2 linked regions of the Rhinolophus ferrumequinum genome follow. Each later gene encodes a partner of the first gene's protein in a complex. Links are inferred from orthologs where the notes say so. Each region holds a gene or a part of one and is shown on either strand. Other genes may lie near its edges.

Region 1 (10,170 bases):
AAGATGTGATGGGCCTTCAATGAGGGTGAAAGATCTTTGGGATGGATAAGAGTGAGGAAGTCTTTTTTGACCAGGTAAAGAAGTTTATATCAGAGACTTTGGTTCCCTAAATCTAGCCATAAGATGCCCCACATCTGAGGTTTGAGGCTGAGCTGGTTCTATACTTCTGGGCATACCTTTGGTCCCAGGCAGGCAGCTTTATCAGCAGCTTGGCAGCATTCTGTTAAAACGTCTTTATATTTTTGAGCATAGTAAAGGAGTTCTGGGGCATAAAAGTAAGGATTTCTTCTGGCAACTTCATATAAGTACCTACATTTTAAAAAAGAAGAACAGGGAGTTAATATTCCTATAGCAAATAGTATTACAGGAACAATTGTAATCAATATTTTCCCCCAAACCCAAAGACATCTCATTTACCAATTAAGCTCCATTTACACATGATGATCTTGCCTTTATCATTCTTCAAGTCAATGAAAAAGTTAAACATATATATAAATTATATATACATACACACATAAAATAGTTAAGTATTGGTGATATAAGGTTATTGACTAAAATGAAATTAATTCTGAGAATAACTAAGCATATATCTTCATAATATTATAATACGTGTCAATTTCAATTTTTTTCCTACAGATCATATCTGGTTTCAATGAAAGATCTTTGATCAAATTTTTATCATGTAAAATTTTATAGTATCAAATATTACTTCTTTAAAACTGTCATTAGAACAAAAGCTTCTAAATCTTAATGTCGAAAATATTTTGTTACAGTGAGTCTTGAACTATTTCATAATTTTTAATTTTGAAGCATAAAAATCTGATTACTTACTGTCCCAAAAACTTCTGTGTATTTTCCTGAAAGGCAGTGCACAAAACATCAGGCTCTGGTCTCACCAGTGCAGGGAGATTTGGGTTATCATCTTTGTGTTTCAGGAAGCATTCGTTTCTCTCAGGTTCTTGTTTTTCACAGCAGTCAGCCATGTCACCATAGGTGGCACGAAGAGATGCAACTGTACACAGTTTATCTCCAAAGAGAGTATGCTAAATGGAAGACAGAAGGCTTCAAATTTCTAGGCAGTATATTATTTTTTATACCCAAAGAATAGTATTAAAAATGCAATATTCTGGTAAACCTTGGTTAGGAAACCATATAAAAATCTACTTTTTTCACAGGTTTAGAGAGTGTCCCTTGATTTGACCATCTATGTGTAATTTTTTAAGAATTAACTGTCACACTATTAATTACAGTGGATAAAACAGAAGGGCAAAAAAGATAAGGAATAAATGTTATTCTAACTTCCACCTGAGGCTAAAGACTAGGAGAGCAATCATAATTTAAAAATCAAGCAAAAATAATTCTCTAAGTAGCAGCTGAATTCACATTAGGGAGGAAAGTATTCAGATAGCTTCTCATTTGATCTGCTTCTTTGTGAGATGTGCAATGTTTTAGCAGATACCATTCAAAAACTGAGGAGTAACACAACATACTATATATTAATTGTTATTGTATTATAATAAAGAATTTGCCTTGAAGCACATTCCATTAAATGAATTATTTACATCACCATTAATTTTTATTATGAAAGTAATTGTAATTCCAGGGAAAATACACTGCTCAAGAGAGAATTAATTCTCAAAAATACATTTTTAAAAATTCATATTTAGAGACATTATATTGTGTGGAATTAAAGTATTGATTCTGGCTTGATATATATATATATATATATATATATATATATATATATGTATATGTATGTATATGTGTGTATATATATATATATATATATATATATATATCGAGAGAGAGAGAGAGAGAGAGAGAGAGAGAGAGAGAGAGAGAGAGAGAGAAATAAGAGAAGGAAAGACTTAAGTGATAATTGAAAAATGGACTTGCCCCCAGAAAAGTATATATAGATTGAATGGTAAGAGAAAACATTAACCTTTCTTTGTATTGAAGACCTATTTGGAAATACCAAAAGCTCAAAATTTTTTAAAATAAATGAATACCTCAATATTTTATTGTATGTAAAAATATGAATATCCCTGAAACAAGGAATACATAGCTATACTATAATTTTTACCCAGGTAACAAAATGAATGCAGAAATCAGTTAAGTACTTTCTGAAGATTAAAAAACATGCTATCACTATTAGCCTCTATGAAGAGAAATCAAACTTCAGATTTTTAAAAGAGACTTTAACAAATTAAAAGCTTTCCATTTAAATACATGATAACCACTGGGTGTGGTCTCCAGAAAGAATTGTTTTTAAAACGGTGGGTATAGCTAGCATGTCTCTATCACAGAAAAAACGATGGCTCTACCTACTTTTGACTGTTGCTTACAAATATGGTCATTTAGTAATAATTGAGAAAACTAAAATGGGACTGTTTTCCCTTTGAAATGCTCAGGCTTACTTAAAAGAAGAACTAATATTCAACATCAGACTACTTACAAGGGACTTGTCACAATTTGCAGCTGACTCATCAGCAACACATGTTTTTGCAAACTCAGTTATTTCATTTGCTAATTTTACATGATCTTCAAATGGGCACTGCTGGAGATACTGAGAGAAGGCTATGAGCACCCTGCAACAAAGGACATAGTAAAATGCAGTATAATAAAATTTGAATATAAAGTATGTTGCTATATTAGACTAAAAGCATATGTTTTATATTTTATACATCGTACTATTATCCAGAAAGCCTAGTCACATCAGCTATCATCTGAGGCTTTCTAAGCAAAGAGGTTATGTATTTCCACCATGTTTAAACATGTGTCTACACGTGAGTAGATGCACACATATATAGCTAACAAGCAAAATGTATTCTAAACAGATCTAATCATTAAGACAAGGGGCATTGCATAGGCCTTTTGACTATGTAAAACAAATTAAAAAACAACAACCAAAAAAAAAACCCAACACACCTCGTTTAATCAGCCTATAGAATGACATGACCTTTAAAAAATAAATTGTTTTCTCATTTTTTAATAGATTAAAAAATACTGAAATGCTCTCAAGAAGCCACAGATCTGTTTGCTAGGTAAATAAATTTAACTAAGTATGATGCAAAAGGGACCACATATTAAAGTCTTTCCCATCATCCAGGTTCAATAAAAGTGCCAGAGTTATATCTTCCAATGCATAGTATTCAGTAGCCACATGTGACTATATAAAGTTGAATAAATTAAAATTAAATACAATTTAAATTTTTGTACCTCAATTGCACTTGCCATATTTAAAATACTCAACAACATGAGGCCAGTGGCTACCATATTGGACAACACTGATATAGAATATTTTCTCCAGTGCAGAAATTTCTACTCTAGAGTCTGGATTCTGATGACAGGAGATTATAAGAATTTAAAAATAATAACCAATGCTATTAGAAACATTAAATTTGACTTCAATATTTTAACTTACAGGCCTTTGAAATGTTCTTCTGTCAAATCCTTAAACCGATGAGCAATCTCACTCTTGGCTGGGGAAAAAACAATATTTATTTAAAACCTGATGAAAACAACTGATTAGGATACTACTTCTTATATGTCTCTCCATTTGACTTAAGTATTCATTTGCTCTAAAATATTGAGCTCTGATCTCTACAGAAAATATTAGGATGACAGTGAACTATAGCTTCTTTTAAACAGAAGCTATTCAATCACCAATGATACTATTTGAAAAATCATTTAAATCATTACATATTTATAGCTGTATATTCATTTTTTGATAAGATCTAATGCTCTTAGTGTCTATTAACAGCTACGGAGAAGACAGTCTGAACGGAAGAATATAATACAAGTTCCCTTTACAAGATTAATAACACAGGTTTTGTTGTTTTTATATACCCATCAAGGTGTTTTGGGATAGGGCTTTGGGAATTTGAAGTTATCAATTATATCATCAACTACATTCTGTGAAGTTTAAGTCACTCTAAGTTCCTTCATATGCAAAAGGAAATTATAGCTACTAAACAATTCTCACCATCTTTTTTTCATTTAGGATGTTAGAAATATATTAATAAGATAAATTCCTGTGGGTTCACAAATACAAAATACCATCATAGTCTAGAAATAAATGCTAAAGAGAAACTTCTTTAAAGATACAGAGTTTACTAAAATGTTCTTTTACTAGGAAAATAAAATAAATTTAAATATTAGAAAAATAGAATTCTTACGTGCATCTCGACGAAACACACCCCTGGAATGAGCAGAGCTGATAAAAAAGACAAGGGAAATAAAGGTTACCCACTTCATTGTGCCAAAGGCTTGTGGGTTTGAAAAAAGGGAAAAGGTAAGATGAATAGAGCGAAATTAGTGCTAATATACTTCTTTAACCAATAATTGTAGATTATTAACTAGACTAATCTTTGTATTTCATTGGCTCCTAAGTGATTACAAAATTCATAATGTTCTTGCCAAAATATTGTTTGACTAAATCCCTTGCGTATGTTTGCCATCTGGAACTGTTTTCCCCACAAGACCTTGTCAATTCATTAAAGTTATGTAAAACGTCTTATCAAATTTTACCTAAGAGTTTAAACAATCTGTACGTATTATTCATTACCATGTTCTTTATCTGTGATTTACCATATGAACAATTTAGTGTTCAGTATTTCCAAAAATTAGGCAAACCAACGACTTAGCTTGAAAATCAGACATACTAAGAGAGCTAAACTCTGAACTGTATAGATTACTAATTCCAAGTATACATCCTTTTGTCATGAGTAATGGAACCAGACTTGTCCTTCAGGCCACATATGAACAGAAATAAAAGAAGATCTGCCTATGAAATTATTTCCATTGGAAAAAAACATTTTTTTAAAGCCTAAAATCTTAAATTACAAAAGCAAAAAGGAAACCATTCTAACTTTCTAAACAGAGAAAATAATTCCCTTTTGGGTAAATTACGTCAACTTTTCTTTTAGCTTCAGAGAAAGAGTGGGCACCTTGTGTCTGGTCAGTGTCTAACCCTAGGCTCTCCTCTATATGAGTCTCCAGGGAAGACTTGATCAAACACGTTATCCTTATAATTGAATGTAATTGTATTACTAGTTCACAGAATTAGGCCTTGTCATGTACATATACATATACTTTGTGCATATTCTTCATGTAACAAATGAAAAGAATAATATTCGTTTCTCCATCTACTTTTCACTGCAATATAATGTTGTAATACAATGGTAAATATAGAAAACCAAAAAAAATCAAGTTCATCAGGATTTTAAAAACTGAGAATTGATTTTCCTATATTTCAAGAAGATCCCATCCCATAGCTTTCAATTATAAAAACTGAAACACCTGAACTTTTCCTCATAGTACCAATAAGGTGTTTTCCATGTGTATATCCTTATTAAAGATTAGTAGATGGTTGAGAAATTAATATTTAATTCTTAACACTACCTGGGTGCTTAAAACCCATCTTAATAAGCAACCCTTTAACATTTGCATTTTGTGGATTCCCAAAGTAAGAATTCCCACATTTTTCTTCTACTAATTCTGTATGCACACTGTGTATTGAGAGAAATAAAACCACATAATTGTTGTTTTTTTCTGAATATTCTGTTCCTCAAATTTTTAAACTCTTATGTTTAATTAGTCACCAAAGTACTCTGGCTTGAGAGTAAATGCATACATTTTAAATCAAGAGTTATAAATATGGCTTACAGAATCTAGTTTTTTAAGTAAATAGTAAACTAGCTCCAGTGATTTTTTAAATGTATTTTCATTTTATGGGAGAAGTTTAAAAAGAGAGTAGTTAAGAAAATTATTTCATATGGAAAGAATAGTAGTGTGCTGATCATTTAGAAGAGAAAAAATACCTAATTGAGATATAAATATAACAGGGAATTAAACCTGAGTTTTATCCCTTTTGTCCTTTGCTTTGCATTCATTTGGACAGTAGAAAAGGCATCATTTTGAAGCAGATGAAATATCTCTTTGGACCAGTCTCCCACTTCCTTACCACCCTAATCATAACCTTAAAACTACACCCTCCTCTGCCCTCTGGATTCCGGAAGCTTCTCACCAAATCATTCAAAGCAGGTTTTTCTCCATTTGGTCATCAACTTGATCCAGCCTTCATGCCGTCTCCTTCTGTGATAGATTATGACTTCTGAGTCACCTTCTCTTAGAAATAAAGTGAAATATATGCTTAACAATGAGATACCTGTGTCTAATAACATCCACAGTATTGTAACAGAGACTTTCCAGTGATAACCACTGAAGGCAAAGTCATTCCAAAACTCGAGAAATTTGGAATCCTTTGGAAAGAAAATTAAGGACAGGAAAATCCTTTTTTAGCATTCTTCCTACAATGCTGTGGACATATGCAGATCCTACCTGTCATGAAGGGCATGGACTTTTTTCTACAAAATACAGAAGGGTAGAAAAATGAAAGACTGCTAAGCATCAAACTAACCAATTGAAACATGGTGAGCAATTTAATTTTTTTATTTACTTGTGAAGATACAGTTCCCTTTAAAACAATAAGAAAACAAATTGTCCAAAATGTATGAACTTACACAGGCATTTCCAATGCAAATAAAGAAATAGTAATGTAATCCAAATATCAATTGTCCTCTCATTTCCTTCCATAAGTCATCCCTCCAAAATACCCACTTGCATTAGTGATAAATATAGAATTGCTGAGGATTTCATAAGGGACAGAAGAAGAAGTTTACATTATAAAAACACACTAAATCACCATCTTCGGCTTGTCCTATCTCTTAAGTCCCTCTCTCCAAATCTCCCATGGCAGGAGGGTCCCTTTTTCTTCCTTTCTTCATGTTACACTGGACCTCTGGAATTTTCATCTACTTCTTCTCAGATATCCAAACCATTTACTTCAAATTTCTCAACTCTTTACTATGCAGTTTAATTCAGCTCATTGTCAATTTCTAGCTCCAAACTCAAACCTGCGGTCTGTATATATATCTCCTTGCCATATAGGTCAAGTTGGGTTAAATTATTTTTAAGGACCTTTTACCTTGAACATTCTATAATTCCATATTCCCAACATAACAGTCCTATAGAATGAGAATAGGGTCTGGCTGGTAGAATGAATATATAGGTATCCCCCACTTTTCAAAAGTTTGCATTACGCCACTTCGCTTTCGCAAAAGACCTACATTGGTACCTGTTTTTGATAACTGAAAGAAATCTGAAGATGACTTTTGCTTTTATGAAAAAAAAAGGTCAAAAGTGAAAATAGCGTTCAGCATTCGTTGTACAGCGAGCCATTATATAGGCAACAGGCACCCTGAGTGGGGAGAGTGGCCCCGCCAGCTCCTTCCCCAGGAACCACGCTCAGCATCTCAGCATCAAGCTGCCATCGCTTTGAACTGTGTCTGTGAGCACGTGTGCTGTACCTTGATTTATTTTGTGTATCCATTAGCAAGCTCTGTCCCAAGGTATCAGAAAAATCTAAGAGAGCTCGTAAGGGTGTTATGGCAGAAAACTGGATGTAATCAAGCTGGATGTTTCAATTGTGGTGAACAAAGAAAAGACATCTTGCCTGTTGAATTTGGGGTCTGAAAACATTCAAATTTTTTACACATAAATTAATGGTAATTGCTTCTTCACTTTACACCAGCTTGGCTTACAAAAGATTTCATGGGCATAGCATACTTTCAGATAGTGGGGGAAACCTGTATCAAGTTAGGAAACTGGAATCCAAATTTGAGAATTTCGTCATTGCTGAGCTACCCAACAGCTCCTCAGACATTACTCACTACCTATTAGGTTGGTGCAAAAGTAATTACGATTTAAAAGGTTAAAAATAATTGCAAAAACCGCAATTACTTTGCACCAACTTAATAGTTCAGGTTAACATTTTTTAAAAAATAAAAAGGTCGTTTAAACACATCTAAACTATATAAATAAAATGACACTGTAGCATATCTTTATCAGTTTTCCAATCCAAGAAAAATGCAACTAATGCATAAAATTCATGTGTATCCATTCTTCATATGTTAACAACAAATAGCTGTTGTTATATCCATAAACAAATAAGTTGAAATTAACGTTACTAACTCCTCTCTCATAATAATAGCTACAAATGGAAATCAAACAGAAATGAATATGCTGCTGAGAGTTTAATAATTCTTAGTCTGTTCATATTCTGTATTTTTCCAAATGTAATTCAACAGACTTACTACTAGAGGAGGTGAATTTAAATTTACAAAATTGAATGGTTTTTTTTAAATTTTGTAAAATAATAAAGGTTGTGTAGCTAAAATATTCCTGTGTAAAACTTCAATGGATCAAGGTTAGAAAATTTTTATTAGAAGATAAATTATTTTTCTCCTTGATGTCTTCTAACGCTTAGATTTTATTAGATGTTTTGTAATCTCTTAGTGCCAGTCTTCAGCTAAAAATTTCCAGCCTGACACCCAACTGAGTCTTGCAATTTAAGTCTTGAAATTCTCATCAGTTTTTCAAGCATCTATGTATGGGCTAACATCAAGAAATTAATTATTTCATCCAAAATAACTGTAACTTCAAGAAATGTAACAAATAAATAATTGACCTGTATTCTTTTTTATTTGAAAGAAATTCATTTCTAGCAAAATGATAATAAAGTATATAATGTAAATGTTTTCAAAATGATTTTTAAATATTAATATTGCATATATAAGCACTGAATTTTTCAATTAGTTTTTCATTGCATAGACATTGGAAAAAATGAAATTCTTCTATTTGAATAATATTTACAAGTTTGAAAGTTTTGTTTGCAAAAATAGTTCATTTAATAATAATGTGTTGCAACTAAAATACGCACTCAAACAGCATAAAGACGTAACTTCAGTAACATATGATGCTGACAATGGTACTCGCTTTACAAAATGTTTCTGATTCACAGTTGTGGGATATTCAGTATATTTAACACCAATAGCTTAAATTACTAGATGAAATACATACAACTACTATTTCAAATCAATCTTAATTTTATATTTACACTAGATATTTATTCATTCATTAAAATTATATAAATTAGCCTCTCAGTATTTAATGTCTTGAAGGCAAATGAATGTTATTGACAAATGCAAATTTCTTTCTGTTGGAAAATTGGCCAAAAATACACATCAAGAATGATAGGATCTAAAGCAAACACTGTTCTGGCATCAACAACCCCTCTATTTATTTAAGAACACCAATGTTCTTGCTGACAGGGCACAATCCAGGTTTCATACTTATTTTAAGTAGCACCACCTAGTCTTTCATTCATGCTCAAAGCTTATTGACTGCCCACTAAATGCCAAGCATTTACTAAGCGATAAGGATATAAAAGATTAACAAGACACAGTCCCTCACTTCAATGAGCCCACAGTCTCTTAGCAGAGGTGAACACATAGAAAGATAATTTTACTGCAATATGATAAATTACTGTGCATGTGGAATACAAGGTATCCCTGGGGTGATAAAGAAGTAATAGTGGAGAAGCTCTAAATCCAAGGGCAATCTTTAATAAGATGTATGGACTCTAACCTTATTAGCTACCTATACAACTCAACAGACTGTAAATCTTCACATTTCTATTTCTGGATTCATTTTTGCTTGGGAAGGAACTTTGCCTGTTGAAATGGAATGAACAGGTAGAGGACTGAGGGAAGTACATGTATGAAGACATGTAATTTCTAAATATTTGATAAAAGACCAAAATACAGAAAGCAAAGAGAACCTATTTATAAGACAATGGAACTCCCTGTAGGAGTAAAAAAGAAAAGAAAGACAAGCTGGCAGGAAGGAGAAAAGAAAAGCAGAATTTGCAATAATTTGTATTTTCAGGCAAAGCTAAGAATGAGAATTGTTATTTTAATATTACAAGACCCAAAGAAAGATATTGTCATTGTAGAAAGCTCCCAAAGTTCCATGGGGAAATAGTTTATCTAAGATGATTAACAAAATTGGCAGGCCACCCAAATGGTGATGAAACAGCGTTCCTGATTCAAGCCGCATTTGTTTAAAATACCATGGGCCTAGAAGTCTAAGAGGGCTTCCCTGGGGACATGATTTTTAAACTGAGAATGTTTTAAATGGGCATGAGTATTGAAGGAAGTGAACCTTCCAGTCCCAGGGGACAGTATATACAAATGCTTGAGGCAAGAAAGAGCATGAAAGAAAAAGTCTAGACACAGATTAGGAGGAAGCAGCAGAGTGTGAGATGAG
Region 2 (11,063 bases), on another chromosome or scaffold:
CCATCTGACATATCCAAAGGACTCATATCCAGAACACACGAAAAACTCTAATAAAAAAAAGACAAAAATTCTGATTTAAAAATGGGTAAAGGATATAGTCATGGGATATAAAATACAGCATAGAAATATAGACAGTGGTATTGTAATAGCTATATACAAGGTCAGAATGGTAGTAGACTTGGTGGGATTATCACTTTCTGAGGGGTGTAAATGCCTAATCATTATGTTGTTTCGTATACCTGAAACCAATAAAAAATGTTGAAATAAATAAATAAATGGATAAAGGAATCAAAAAGCTACTCCAAAAGAGGAGACATCCAACTGGCCAATAACGTGAAAAAGTACTCAACATAGCAAGTCATTAAATCATGTATCTGATTTTATCAAATCATTTATCGGATTTTCATTTATCATCAGATAAATGAAAAGTGAAATCACAATATGATACCACTACACGTAACCCACGAGAATGGTTAAAATTAAAGACAGACAGCATCAAATTCTGGCAAGCCTGTGAACCAATGGAATTTATGTACATGGCTGGTGAGAGTATAAAACTGGTCCAACCACTTTGAGAAAATGTTTAATACCACCTACTAAAGCTAATCTTATGCCTACACTATGACACAACAATTCCACTTATGGGTGTTTAGTCAAAATAAATGAAAATACAGATTCATCAAAAGACATGTAAAAGAATGTTCATAGCAGCTTTACCCATAATAGCCCCAATCTTTTCAGTGAAAATAAACCATTCACTGAAAAACTGTGGTATGAACCAGGCAATGAAATACTACTCAGCAGTAAAAGGAATAAACTGCTGACAGACGGATGGAACAATAGTCTCATGACACGAGCTTGAATGAAAGAAGCGAGACACAAACAAGCACATGCTCATAACTGTATGAAGTTCAAAATCAGGCAACACTATGGTAATAGAAGTTAGGTTAGTTGTTACCCTTGGGGGGGTATGCAATGGGAGGGGACACAAGGAAATCTTCTGGGGTGATGGAAATGTTCTAGATCTTGATCTGGAGGGCAAGTACATGAGCACATATAAAAATTAATCGAGCTATGTACTTTAGGTAGGTAAGTTACACCTCAATAAGAAAAACTTTTAAATTAGAGATACTGTAATGATTGAACAGACAAAACAGGGGCATGAGAGACAATAATGGCAGTGGCATGGGGGCACACGTTAGTCAGGGTGGTCAGGGAGGGCCCTGCTGAAGAGCCCCCATCCAGGATCCAACCTAAAGGCATGAGAAGAACCCAGTCATGGCAGGATCCCAAGGAAGACAATCACAAGCACAGGGAACAGCATGTGCAAAGGTCCTGAGGAGGGAAAGAATCAGACATGTTGGAGGACCGGGAGAAGGTCACCGGAGCAGGGATGTTGTGAAATTACAGTGGCGGAAAGCAGCCAGACCACGCAGGGCTTGTGGGCCACAGAGTAGAGTTTGGGTTTTAGTCCAAGACTAGTGGGAAGCTATTTGGATTGTTTTAAGAAATGGCGGGATGGGAGCTCGTTTACATTTCAAAACATGGTCTGCATTGGGGGCAGAGATGGAAGCTGGGATTGCAAGGTAGGGGGGGACACTGAGGACAAAAGAGCTCTACCGTGTTTCCCCGAAAATGAGACCTAGCCGGACGATCAGCTCTAATGTGTCTTTTGGAGCAGAAATTAATATAAGACCTGGTCTTATTTTGCTATAATATAAGACCGGGTCTTACAATATAATATAATGTAATGTAATATAATGTAATGTAATATAATGTAATATAGTATAATACTAGGTCTTATATTAATTTTTGCTCCAAAAGACGCATTAGAGCTGATTGTCTGGCTAGGTCTCATTTTTGGGGAAACATGGTAATTCCAGCCCTTGAGAATTCCCCAAACATCCACATCATTATAGATCAGAATGACATGTGCTGTAACAGAGGTCACACAAGGCATTGTGGGAGCCCCAAGAGGCAAGTGAAAGCCTTATGGGCCAGAGAAATCTCCCTGGCTGTGACACCACGGGAACTGGAAGGAGAATGGCAGAAGGGAAGAAATGGGAGGGTTGGCATGAGCTCAAGGAACTCTAGGTGATTCCTTTTGACTGAGTGGGGCAGATGGAGAAATGTGAGGCTGAGGAGAGGGACAGAGGCCATGCCACACGGCGCCTCGATGCCAGGGTGAGGGGCTTGAGCTGTGTTCTGAGGGCTCTTGAAGCCATGGGAGGGCTGTGTGCAGGAGAGGGGCAGGGTCAGCTCTGGGGGTAGAAAGACCCCCTGGGACGTGTGGGGGATAAGCTGCAGAGGGGAGATTGGAAGTCAGGAGGCCAGGGAGGAGGCTGGGGAAGAGGACGAGGCCTAAGGTGGGGCCATGGGGAACGGAGAGATCCACCGGGGTCTGAGATTCTTCGGGAGGTTGCTCACCCTTCCACTCCAGGTTTCCACGGCCTCTCTCCAGATGGCCCAGCAGGCGCTGGGGGCAGGAGTACAGCAGGAAGGTCTTCTCCTTGTTGACCACCTCCGCCTGCTGCGTCCACTTGTCACTGATGCTCTTGGCCTCAGGCCAGTCTCCAATCCAGGTGCCCACCTTGGGGTCGAACTTCATGAACTCCTCGCCATTCAGGGCAAACTTGGCCACAGGCACAGAGGCATTGTCAGGCCCCAACTCACAGCCCAGCAGGCCCTGCAGGGTGTAGGAACCTGGGGTACCGACACACAGGTGAGCATGGCCCAGGAGCAGGGGCCCACCCCCTTGTCTGTCAGACCCAGGAGTCCAGCCCCCAGGTCCTCAGCCCTCAGACCCAGGAATCCAAGTCTTGCCTCCTTCCTCCAAGACCGTGAGAGCTTCCAGGAAAAGCTTCTGCTTGTTCCGCAGGTCCGTCGTCTCTTTCTCCCAATACCAGGACACCTGGTTTTCCCAGACCCAAGCCCCGTACGGCTCAGCCTGGGCCCGCAGGTTATTGTAGCTCAGGTACTGCTGTGGACCCAGCCAACCTGATACCCAGAAGGCAGGGGTCCCCGGGGCAGGAAAGGACACGGAGGTGAAGTGGTACAAGAGGGAGCGATGGCTGTCTGCTGGAGAGAGACAGAGGTGAATGCAGCAGATGGGGCCGGAGGTATCTAGACAGGGAGCAAGAGAGACACCGGGAGAGAGGAAGGACTCGACCCCGGACAGAGGGGACAGACTCTGAGAAAGTGGGCAGATTCAGCTATGGGGGCACAAAGACTCAGAGAGAGGGGGACAGGGATCTGGAGACAGGGGGACAGGTGCTTCCCAGACACACTGAGCGAAGAAGGAGAAAATCATAAACCAAATGAAATACAGGGAAGGGGAAAATGTTGGCTCGACGGAAACCGCAGATTTCGCTTCGTCCTCTCCTTCCCGGCGGGGGGCACCTCCCTCCACCCCAGCAGCCCCGACTGAGCACCTCTCACCTGCGCGAAGCGTCCCGGGCAGGAGGAACAGCAGGAGACAAAGCCCCCAGGGCACTGGTCGGGGGACCCGCATCCTGAGAGGGAGACCTGGGGCGGGAGGAGGCGCGTGACTCCTCCGGACCCCCGGCCCACGCCTTCCTCCCCCAGCTCCGCTGGGCTCCGCCACCACGCCGACGCCTGTGGGTGTGGGTTCGGGGCTCCTTCCAGGAGAGTGACAACAATGCCCTACGCCTCAATGAACTTTCACCCCTTAATTTGATCCATGTTGGTTAATTAATTACAGAGCCTGGATAGGCTGAAATTTCATTCTCGGAGCTCATCCCCGCCTCCTTCTCCTCCTCCTCCTCCTCCTCCTCCTCCTCCTCCTCCTCCTCCTCCTCCTCCTGTCTGGGACCCAGGAGTCCCAGCCCCAGCCCCTCCTCCTCCAGACCCAGGAGTCCGGGCCCCCAGCCCCTCCTCCCTCAGACTCGAGAGTCCGGGCCCCAGTCCCTCGTCCCTTGGCCCCAGGAGCCCGGACCCCAGCCCGTCCTCCCTCGGGGCCCGGGCCCCAGCTCTGCTCACAGCAGCCGCGATCCCTTCCCGCCTGCAGCCCCAGCTGGCTCCCGTGACTGGAGACCCCAGTTCCTCTCTCACATCCTGTCCGGAGATTGTTCCCCGGCACTGGGAATATACAACTCCGCCCCCCAGCTGCAGGGCACACCCTGGGCCCTGGGCCCAGACTCTCTGAATATGTCTCTGCTGCTCTCTTGAAAACTTTCGTCGATTTTTTTGGGTCTCTTTCTCTGTTGTTGTTTTCATTTTGAGGGTATCAGCCAGCCAGCGAATTCGTGACAAAGTTGGGAATAGAAACCAGCACTATCAGAGTGCAAAATTCGGAGGTCACTGTGGGTTCCCCTTCTTACCTCATTTACCCTCCACAAGGCCTTCACTAGCTCCTGCTACAAAGAAAGGTCTCTAGATCCTGTGTTTCCTTCTTGGAACCCCTCCCCCAAGTGTCGCCTTAAAGTGCCCTTGCAGTTCCCCTTTTTTTTTTTTAAACAAAATATTTTTTTTTTGTAAAGTAAAAGCTTTGTATAAAAGCATTATAGATGAAAAACTTTATTTACATTTTTTAATTTAAGGTCCAATTATGCACCAAATACTGAATGGGCACAACAGGCTACTGGTGCAAAGCAAAATGGACAAAGATTCCTCTTCTAACAAATGATGTGATGAATGCAAAACAAAAGCTTTTATACAACTATTATGATATAAGCAATAGAAATAAAGCTTTGTATGGTAGAAATAAATAAGTAAAATAAAGCAGAGGAGGAGACAACACATGAAATCTGCTCAAATACCAAAAAGGCAGAAATATTAACAAACTGAAGTCACCCATCTCCAAAAAGACACTTCCTGTGGTTCTAAAGTTGCTTCAAACCAGAACACAAACGCTGTGCCTAGCTTATAATTTCTTCACGAAAGCAAAAACTGCAAAGAACTGTAGACTAGTCCTAGTATCAATTTTCCATGCAAAATGAACAAGAATTTATTTGAAATACCTTACATTGTGAACTGAAGTAAACTTGGCAAACTACCGTTATACTGAAGTTTTATACCACGAATCCGAATCAGCCTATTTTTTTTCCCCCTTTTTCCGCCTCCCCCTATCCCCACTTGGGTTCAAGCCCTTGTTTCTCAGTCTAGTTGTGCAGGACACAGCTTCCTGGCCCATGCTGGTATTATGTGCGCTTCCCCTCCCCACCCTAGGCTGAGGCAGTCGGTTGCCGGTCATCAGTCGGCCTTCACAGCCTGCGGGCCACTCACACTCGCCACCAGTGGCTCATAGCAGCACATGTGGCCCAGGGCAGCAGCACACAGGAGCCCAGCTTCCAGGGAGAGCTGTTGTTCACAATCTTAGCTGTAGAGGGCGCAGCTTACTGGCCCATGTGGGAATCGAACTGGCGACCTCAGCATTAGGAGCACAGCGCTCTAACCACCTGAGCCGCCAGGCCCGCTCCAAATCAGCCTATTTCTGAAGCCTTGCCACTCTCATTCCCTAGGATGTCTTTTCTACAGTGACCTCAAGTATAGTATTGCCCACAAACCTTTTGGTAATGAGCCCTTGTGGTTCTTTAATGTCTTCTGATAGGACCTCCACAGCACAGAGTTCCAATATATGTTACTACACTTTTACAAGAGTGTAGTAACATATATTGGTATCTGCAGGGGGGTCCTGGAACTAATTCCCCCACAGATACCAAGGCACACCAATGTACGACTATCAGGCTTAGAGGCCCCCTCCAGTCACCCGCCCCCAGCTCACACTCCTGCTACACTGCTTCCATTCATTTGTTTTATTTTAAAATGCACAAAACATAAGATTTACCATTTAATGATATTTAGTGCATTTTAGTTCCAGAACTTCTTCATCACCCCAAAAGAAACCCCGTACTCATCAAGCAGCCCCTCCTCCTCCTAGCCCCTGGCAACCACCGTCTCTATGGATTTACCTATTCTGCATATTTCATATAAATGGGGTCATACAATATTGTGGCCTTTTGTGTCTGTCTTCTTTCACTTAGCGTATTGTTTTGACGATTTAACCATGTTGTAGCATGGATCACCACTTCATTCCTTTTTATGGCTGAATAATATTCCATTGTTTGGATCTATCACCTTTTCTTTATCCATTCATCCATTGATGGACGTTTTGGGTTGTTTCTACTTTTTGGATATTATAAATAATGCTGCTATGAGCATTATGTATGTTTTTGGGGTTTTTTTAAACAACTGTTTTTAATTCTTTTGGGTATATACCCGGGAATGGAATTACGAGGTCATATGATGTGTTAGTCAGGGTTCTCTGGAGAAACAGAACCAACAGGATGTTTATATACATACATAGAAAGACACTTACTTCAAAGAATTGGCTCACATGATTGTGCTGAGTTGAAAATCTAATAGGGGTGGAGACCAAGCTGGGGATTCAGGAAGGAGCTGCAGCTCAAGTCCAAAAGCAGGAAGAACCAGGAAGAGCTGATCTAGCAGATGAAGTTCAAAGGTATTTGCTGGCAGAATTCTTTCCTGTTTGGGAGAGGTCTGTTTTTTCTTCCATTTATGTTGTCAGCTGTTTAGATGTGGCCTACTCACATTATGGAGGCCAGCTTCCTTTACTCAAAGCCCACTGATTTCAGTGTAAATGTCATCCAAAAACGCCCTCACAGAAACATCTAGAGTAATGTTGGACCAAACAGCTGTGCACTACAGCCCAGCCAAGTTGACACATGAAATGAACCACTACCGATGGTGTTTGTGTTCGCCTTATTGAAGAACCTCTGTTGATTTTCATTATTCTCTCTGGGTTCTGCTAGGTTATTCATAGACCCACCCGAAGGGGCTGCGTATAATGACACTGAAGGATCATACTTTCATATCCTGTGAGCCCTATTACAGCACCGTTAGCTCTTTCCTAAAATACACTGAAGAGCCTGCCATGCCCAGCTGTCCCTTCTGTGTCCCTTGGGATTCAGCTGTCTCTGAGACACTATTCCAGCAGCCCCTGGGCTCTCATTTTAAAGGCCCTCAGGACCCTACTATGATGTTCCTTGGACCCTGATATAAAGTACCCAATGTCCTGTGACAGGGCCCCAGGACTCTGCTATACTTTTCCTTGAAGCTTGAAAACCATCACCCTAGGGCCCCATTGCACCCCTCATGACTGTTGTATTAACTCAGTTGAACTCCAGTGCCCCTGAGTCCTCCGGGACTTTTGCCAGAGGCCCCACCCTGTCCCTGGGTCTCTGATAATCTCAGAACCCCACCCCCATGCTCCTTGGGTCCCTGTGAGTATCCTGAGACACGGCGATAACGTCTTTAGGAGCCTCCACTAATGTCCCGCAGAGTGGGCCACCCCCTCTCTGGGATCCTGATAAATGAGTCCTGAGACCTCACAGAATGGCCACAGAAGGCCCTAAGCCCCAGGCCCCTGCTCCTGCCACCAAACCTGTTTTAATTCCTTCAGTTTCCATTGTAAAGCTGAGTGGGACTCCCCAAACCCCACCTGGGTTCTCTCTATTATTGTCCTGCCCTGTCCTATGAAACATGTATAAACAGACTGTGGGGACAGAGCCCCAAAAAGCAGTTTCCAGGCTCTCGGCCTCACATAGAAAGGTGCTGGCTCAGGTAGTAAATGGCCGTTGACTGTGATCAAATGGCCATCAGCTGTGGCTAGTTGGCTGTCAGCTGTAACCAGTGAGCCATTGGCCACTAATATAACTGCCGTGGCTAGGCTAGCAGAGAATGGGGGCTAGCAAGAAGATGGTGGCTGAGCCTGCAATGGAGCAGTGAGGGTTGAGAATTGTGTGGCTCCTGTTTCCTGTGTCTCCAACCCAGCCGCCAGGGAGAGTATAGTGGTGTGACTCCCCTACCTATGGCTCCGTGGGTGTTCCTTTTTGGCCTCACTATGTCCTGCATTCTTATGTGGGGAGTGGGACCAGAGACCCCGCATGACACCCTGCATGACACATGGCGAAGTCGGCAGGATCCCCTGCACTACACAGACACAAAGAGATATGTAGGTAGGGAGGGAGGGAGGGAGGTAGGTAGGTAGGTAGGTAGGCAGACAGACAAACACATAGATATACAGAGAGAAAACTCAATAGAAAAAAAAGAAAAAGAAAGAAACAATTAGGGCCAGCCCGGTGGCTCAGGTGGTTAGAGCCCCATGCTCCTAACTCCGAAGGCTGCCGGTTCGATTCCCACATGGGCCAGTGGGCTCTCAACCACAAGGTTGCCAGTTCAATTCCTCGACTCCCTCAAGGGATGGTGGGCTCCGCCCCCTGCAACTAAGATTGAACACGGCTCCTTGAGCTGAGCTGCCACTGAGCTCCCGGATGGCTCAGTTGGTTGGAGCGCATCCTCTCAACCACAAGGTTGCCGGTTCAACGCCCACAAGGGATTGTGGGCTGCGCCCCCTGCAACTAGAAAAAAATGGCAACTGGACCTGGAGCTGAGCTGCGCCCGACACAACTAAGACTGAAAGGACAACTTGAAGCTGAACGGCACCCTCCACAACTAAGATTGAAAGGACAACAACTTGACTTGGAAAAACAGGCCTGGAAGTACACACTGTTCCCCCAATAAAGTCCTGTTCCCCTTCCCCAATAAAATCTTAAAAAAAAAAAAAGAAAGAAAGAAAGAAACAATTAGACCCTCCAGGACCTGCTATAAAATCTCTCCTAGCCTGTAAGAAACCTTCCACATTTCCAAGGAACTTGCTATCATGCCCCCTTGACCAGCTAGATTGCTGCTCCCTCATCCCAGAGGTCCCCACCGTAAGGGACCTGAGACCTTACTAAAGAAATGGCCCTGAGATCCCACCCCATGGCTCTGTGTGTCCCCTTTCGATTCCCTGGGTCCTCCTCTAATGGTTAAAACACACCCCTAGGATTCTTCTCTATTGCCTAGGACCTTAAAATAATGCCACGAGAGCTCTGATGACAAGTCCTTGGATTCCTGTCCCCATACTCCTCCCAGGACGCTGGTGCACTGCCCCTGGGCCTTTTCCAGTGGCCCCACGTCTTCTAAGGCCCCAGGTCCTACTGTAATGCTTATGTTTTTCTCAACTGTTCTTCAGGTCCTGCTTTACCCATCTCTGGATATCTCTTCTAGGTGTCCTTGGTCCTGCTACAATGTTCCATCGGCTGTCACTTCAACACCTCTCAGCACTCTACAGCCCACTGAGTTCTTTGATTCCTGATAAAATATGTCCCCAGACCCTACAATATTCCCCCACTGAGCACTCAGAAGGTCCCCTGGATCCTGCTGAAATGGGTGCAGTCCTACTTCATGTAATTAAAACGGCCTCAGGGTGTCCCCTCTAAATCCGTCTGGGTCCTGCCAGAACCCTAGTATAATGCCTCTTAGCTCTACCATGAAGTCTTTAGGTTCCTGTTAAGAGTCCAGGGGCCTGCTATTCCGTGTCCCCGGAAACATCAGTGTCCTACAGGGGGTTCTGGGAAAATTCCCGCAGGCTTTCACCCAGGCATCCTGGGATCCCGCTTCAGCAGCCATCTGCAGGGCCCTGGATCATTTTATTAGTGTCCTATGGCTCCTGTAACCAATTACCATAAACTTAGTGGTTTAAAACAACACAAATGGATTATTGTTCAGCTCTGGAGACCGGAAGTCCATAGGGCTGCTTTCTGCTGGAGGCTTCCGGGGAGAATTCATTTCCTGGTCTTTTCAAGCTGCTTGGGGCTACCTGCATTCCCTGGCTTATGGACCCTTCCTCCATCTTCAAAACTAGCATCTTCTCTCCTCTTTGACCCCTGTGTCTGTCCTTCTACCTCTGACTCTGATCCTTTTGTATCCCTCTTATAAGGACCCTTATAATAACATTTATCCCACCTGGGTAATCCAGGATCATCTTCCCATCTCAAGATCCTGAAATTAATCACATCTGCAAAGTCCCTTTTATCATATATTATAAAATCATATATTCACAGGTTTTGGGGGAATAGGGCATAGACATCTTTGGGAGACCATTATCTAGCCTATCACAGTCACAGAGGATGCCCTCCCTTGCCTGGTGGCAGGACCAGTTACTAATCCTTTGGGTGCAATGCCAAAGGAAAATGTAGGGCCCCTTGTTCCAGTTTCAACATGGTTCAAGCAGAGTATTAAACCAAACACAGGTCCCTTTCGAGCAATGGCTCAGCCTGCAGAGGGAGCTCGCCCACGAAGGCACCTTGGCCCCTGGGGTCCGTGCACCATAAATGGCCTCAGTCAGCTCTGAGTAATGCTTCCTGAATTGCGACCTTAACATCCACTCCTCCCCTCTGCACCTACGCTGTAGCGCCCCCTACGCACCCCGGGAGGCAACCACACCTAATTTCAAAACCAAATCCTACCTTTTCTAGGTAGGATTCTCTGAACCTTGGTTTCTTTGTGAAGTGGGGATAATTGTGCCTACCTCAACAGAGAAGCTTTATCGAGTTCAGGTTTGCACAAGGCATATAGTAGGGCACAGAAGTAGCACTTATTCCTCTAGATGCTTCCCGCTCATCCCAGGCTGCTGTTAACGTCCTCCAGGTCACTCTAGATACTAGTAGGCTCTCAGACATCAGGCCCTGGATCTGTCTTGCTCACTCTTGCATCCCAAGAGTCAGCATAGTAAATATTTGCAGAATGAATGACGGCAATAATGAATGACCCTGGGCTCGTTTGATACATCCCTAAAACTCTTCTAGAATGGCGTTGGTGTCCTGTTAGAATGTTCCAGAAGAGTCTATACCCACTGTGAAATGATCTGCAGGTCTGCGCACTCACGCAGGTCACCTCACACTCACAGAGGTCACTCCAATTTAATTTGCCTAGGCTCCCCTCACAGCCCTCGGGACCAGTTAAATGAATTCAGGTGGCTGCTCCACAAATAATACCCATGGGCCAGCTATCATGTAACCCAGGTAGTGCAACCACCAACAGGGAATATTACAGGACCTGAGGTCCCACTATAATCCATATAACTATGTCCTGCTCTAATAGGACTCCCCAGGGGACTGCAACAGTGATTGTCAGTCTGGCTGTAACAGAATTTTCCTGTGGTCTGCTATGATAAGTGCGGAGCCATGATACATTACGAT

Evidence for each region.
Region 2: the proteins of ALB (region 1) and FCGRT are in contact, whole or in part, in a crystal structure (PDB 6QIO), measured with the Homo sapiens proteins. The link is inferred for Rhinolophus ferrumequinum from reciprocal best matches to the Homo sapiens genes ALB and FCGRT. Residues at the interface, in NP_000468.1 of Homo sapiens: Arg105, Glu106, Thr107, Tyr108, Gly109, Glu110, Asp113, Asn133, Asn135, Gln441, Ser443, Pro445, Thr446, Glu449, Leu484, Leu487, His488, Thr491, Pro492, Val493, Tyr521, Val522, Pro523, Lys524, Thr530, Phe531, Thr532, Phe533, His534, Asp536; in NP_001129491.1 of Homo sapiens: Arg65, Glu67, Glu69, Gly72, Ala73, Val75, Trp76, Gln79, Val80, Ser81, Trp82, Trp84, Glu85, Lys86, Thr89, Arg92, Asn172, Lys173, Leu175, Thr176, Leu179, Phe180, His184, Glu188, Arg192, Gly195, Asn196, Trp199, Lys200, Glu201.

The regions. Positions count from the first base shown.
Region 1 is NC_046288.1:30,504,033-30,514,202, reverse strand, and holds the start of ALB (albumin), read right to left. Parts: upstream 4,307-10,170; 5' UTR 4,258-4,306; coding exon 4,179-4,257; intron 3,483-4,178; coding exon 3,425-3,482; intron 2,589-3,424; coding exon 2,456-2,588; intron 1,044-2,455; coding exon 832-1,043; intron 310-831; coding exon 177-309; intron 1-176. UniProt on the Homo sapiens protein: Binds water, Ca(2+), Na(+), K(+), fatty acids, hormones, bilirubin and drugs. Its main function is the regulation of the colloidal osmotic pressure of blood. Major zinc transporter in plasma, typically binds about 80% of all plasma zinc.
Region 2 is NC_046298.1:44,648,086-44,659,148, reverse strand, and holds the start of FCGRT (IgG receptor FcRn large subunit p51), read right to left. Parts: upstream 4,404-11,063; 5' UTR 4,341-4,403; intron 4,149-4,340; exon of another isoform or gene 4,000-4,148; intron 3,526-3,999; 5' UTR 3,512-3,525; coding exon 3,439-3,511; intron 3,079-3,438; coding exon 2,824-3,078; intron 2,704-2,823; coding exon 2,428-2,703; intron 1-2,427. UniProt on the Homo sapiens protein: Cell surface receptor that transfers passive humoral immunity from the mother to the newborn. Binds to the Fc region of monomeric immunoglobulin gamma and mediates its selective uptake from milk.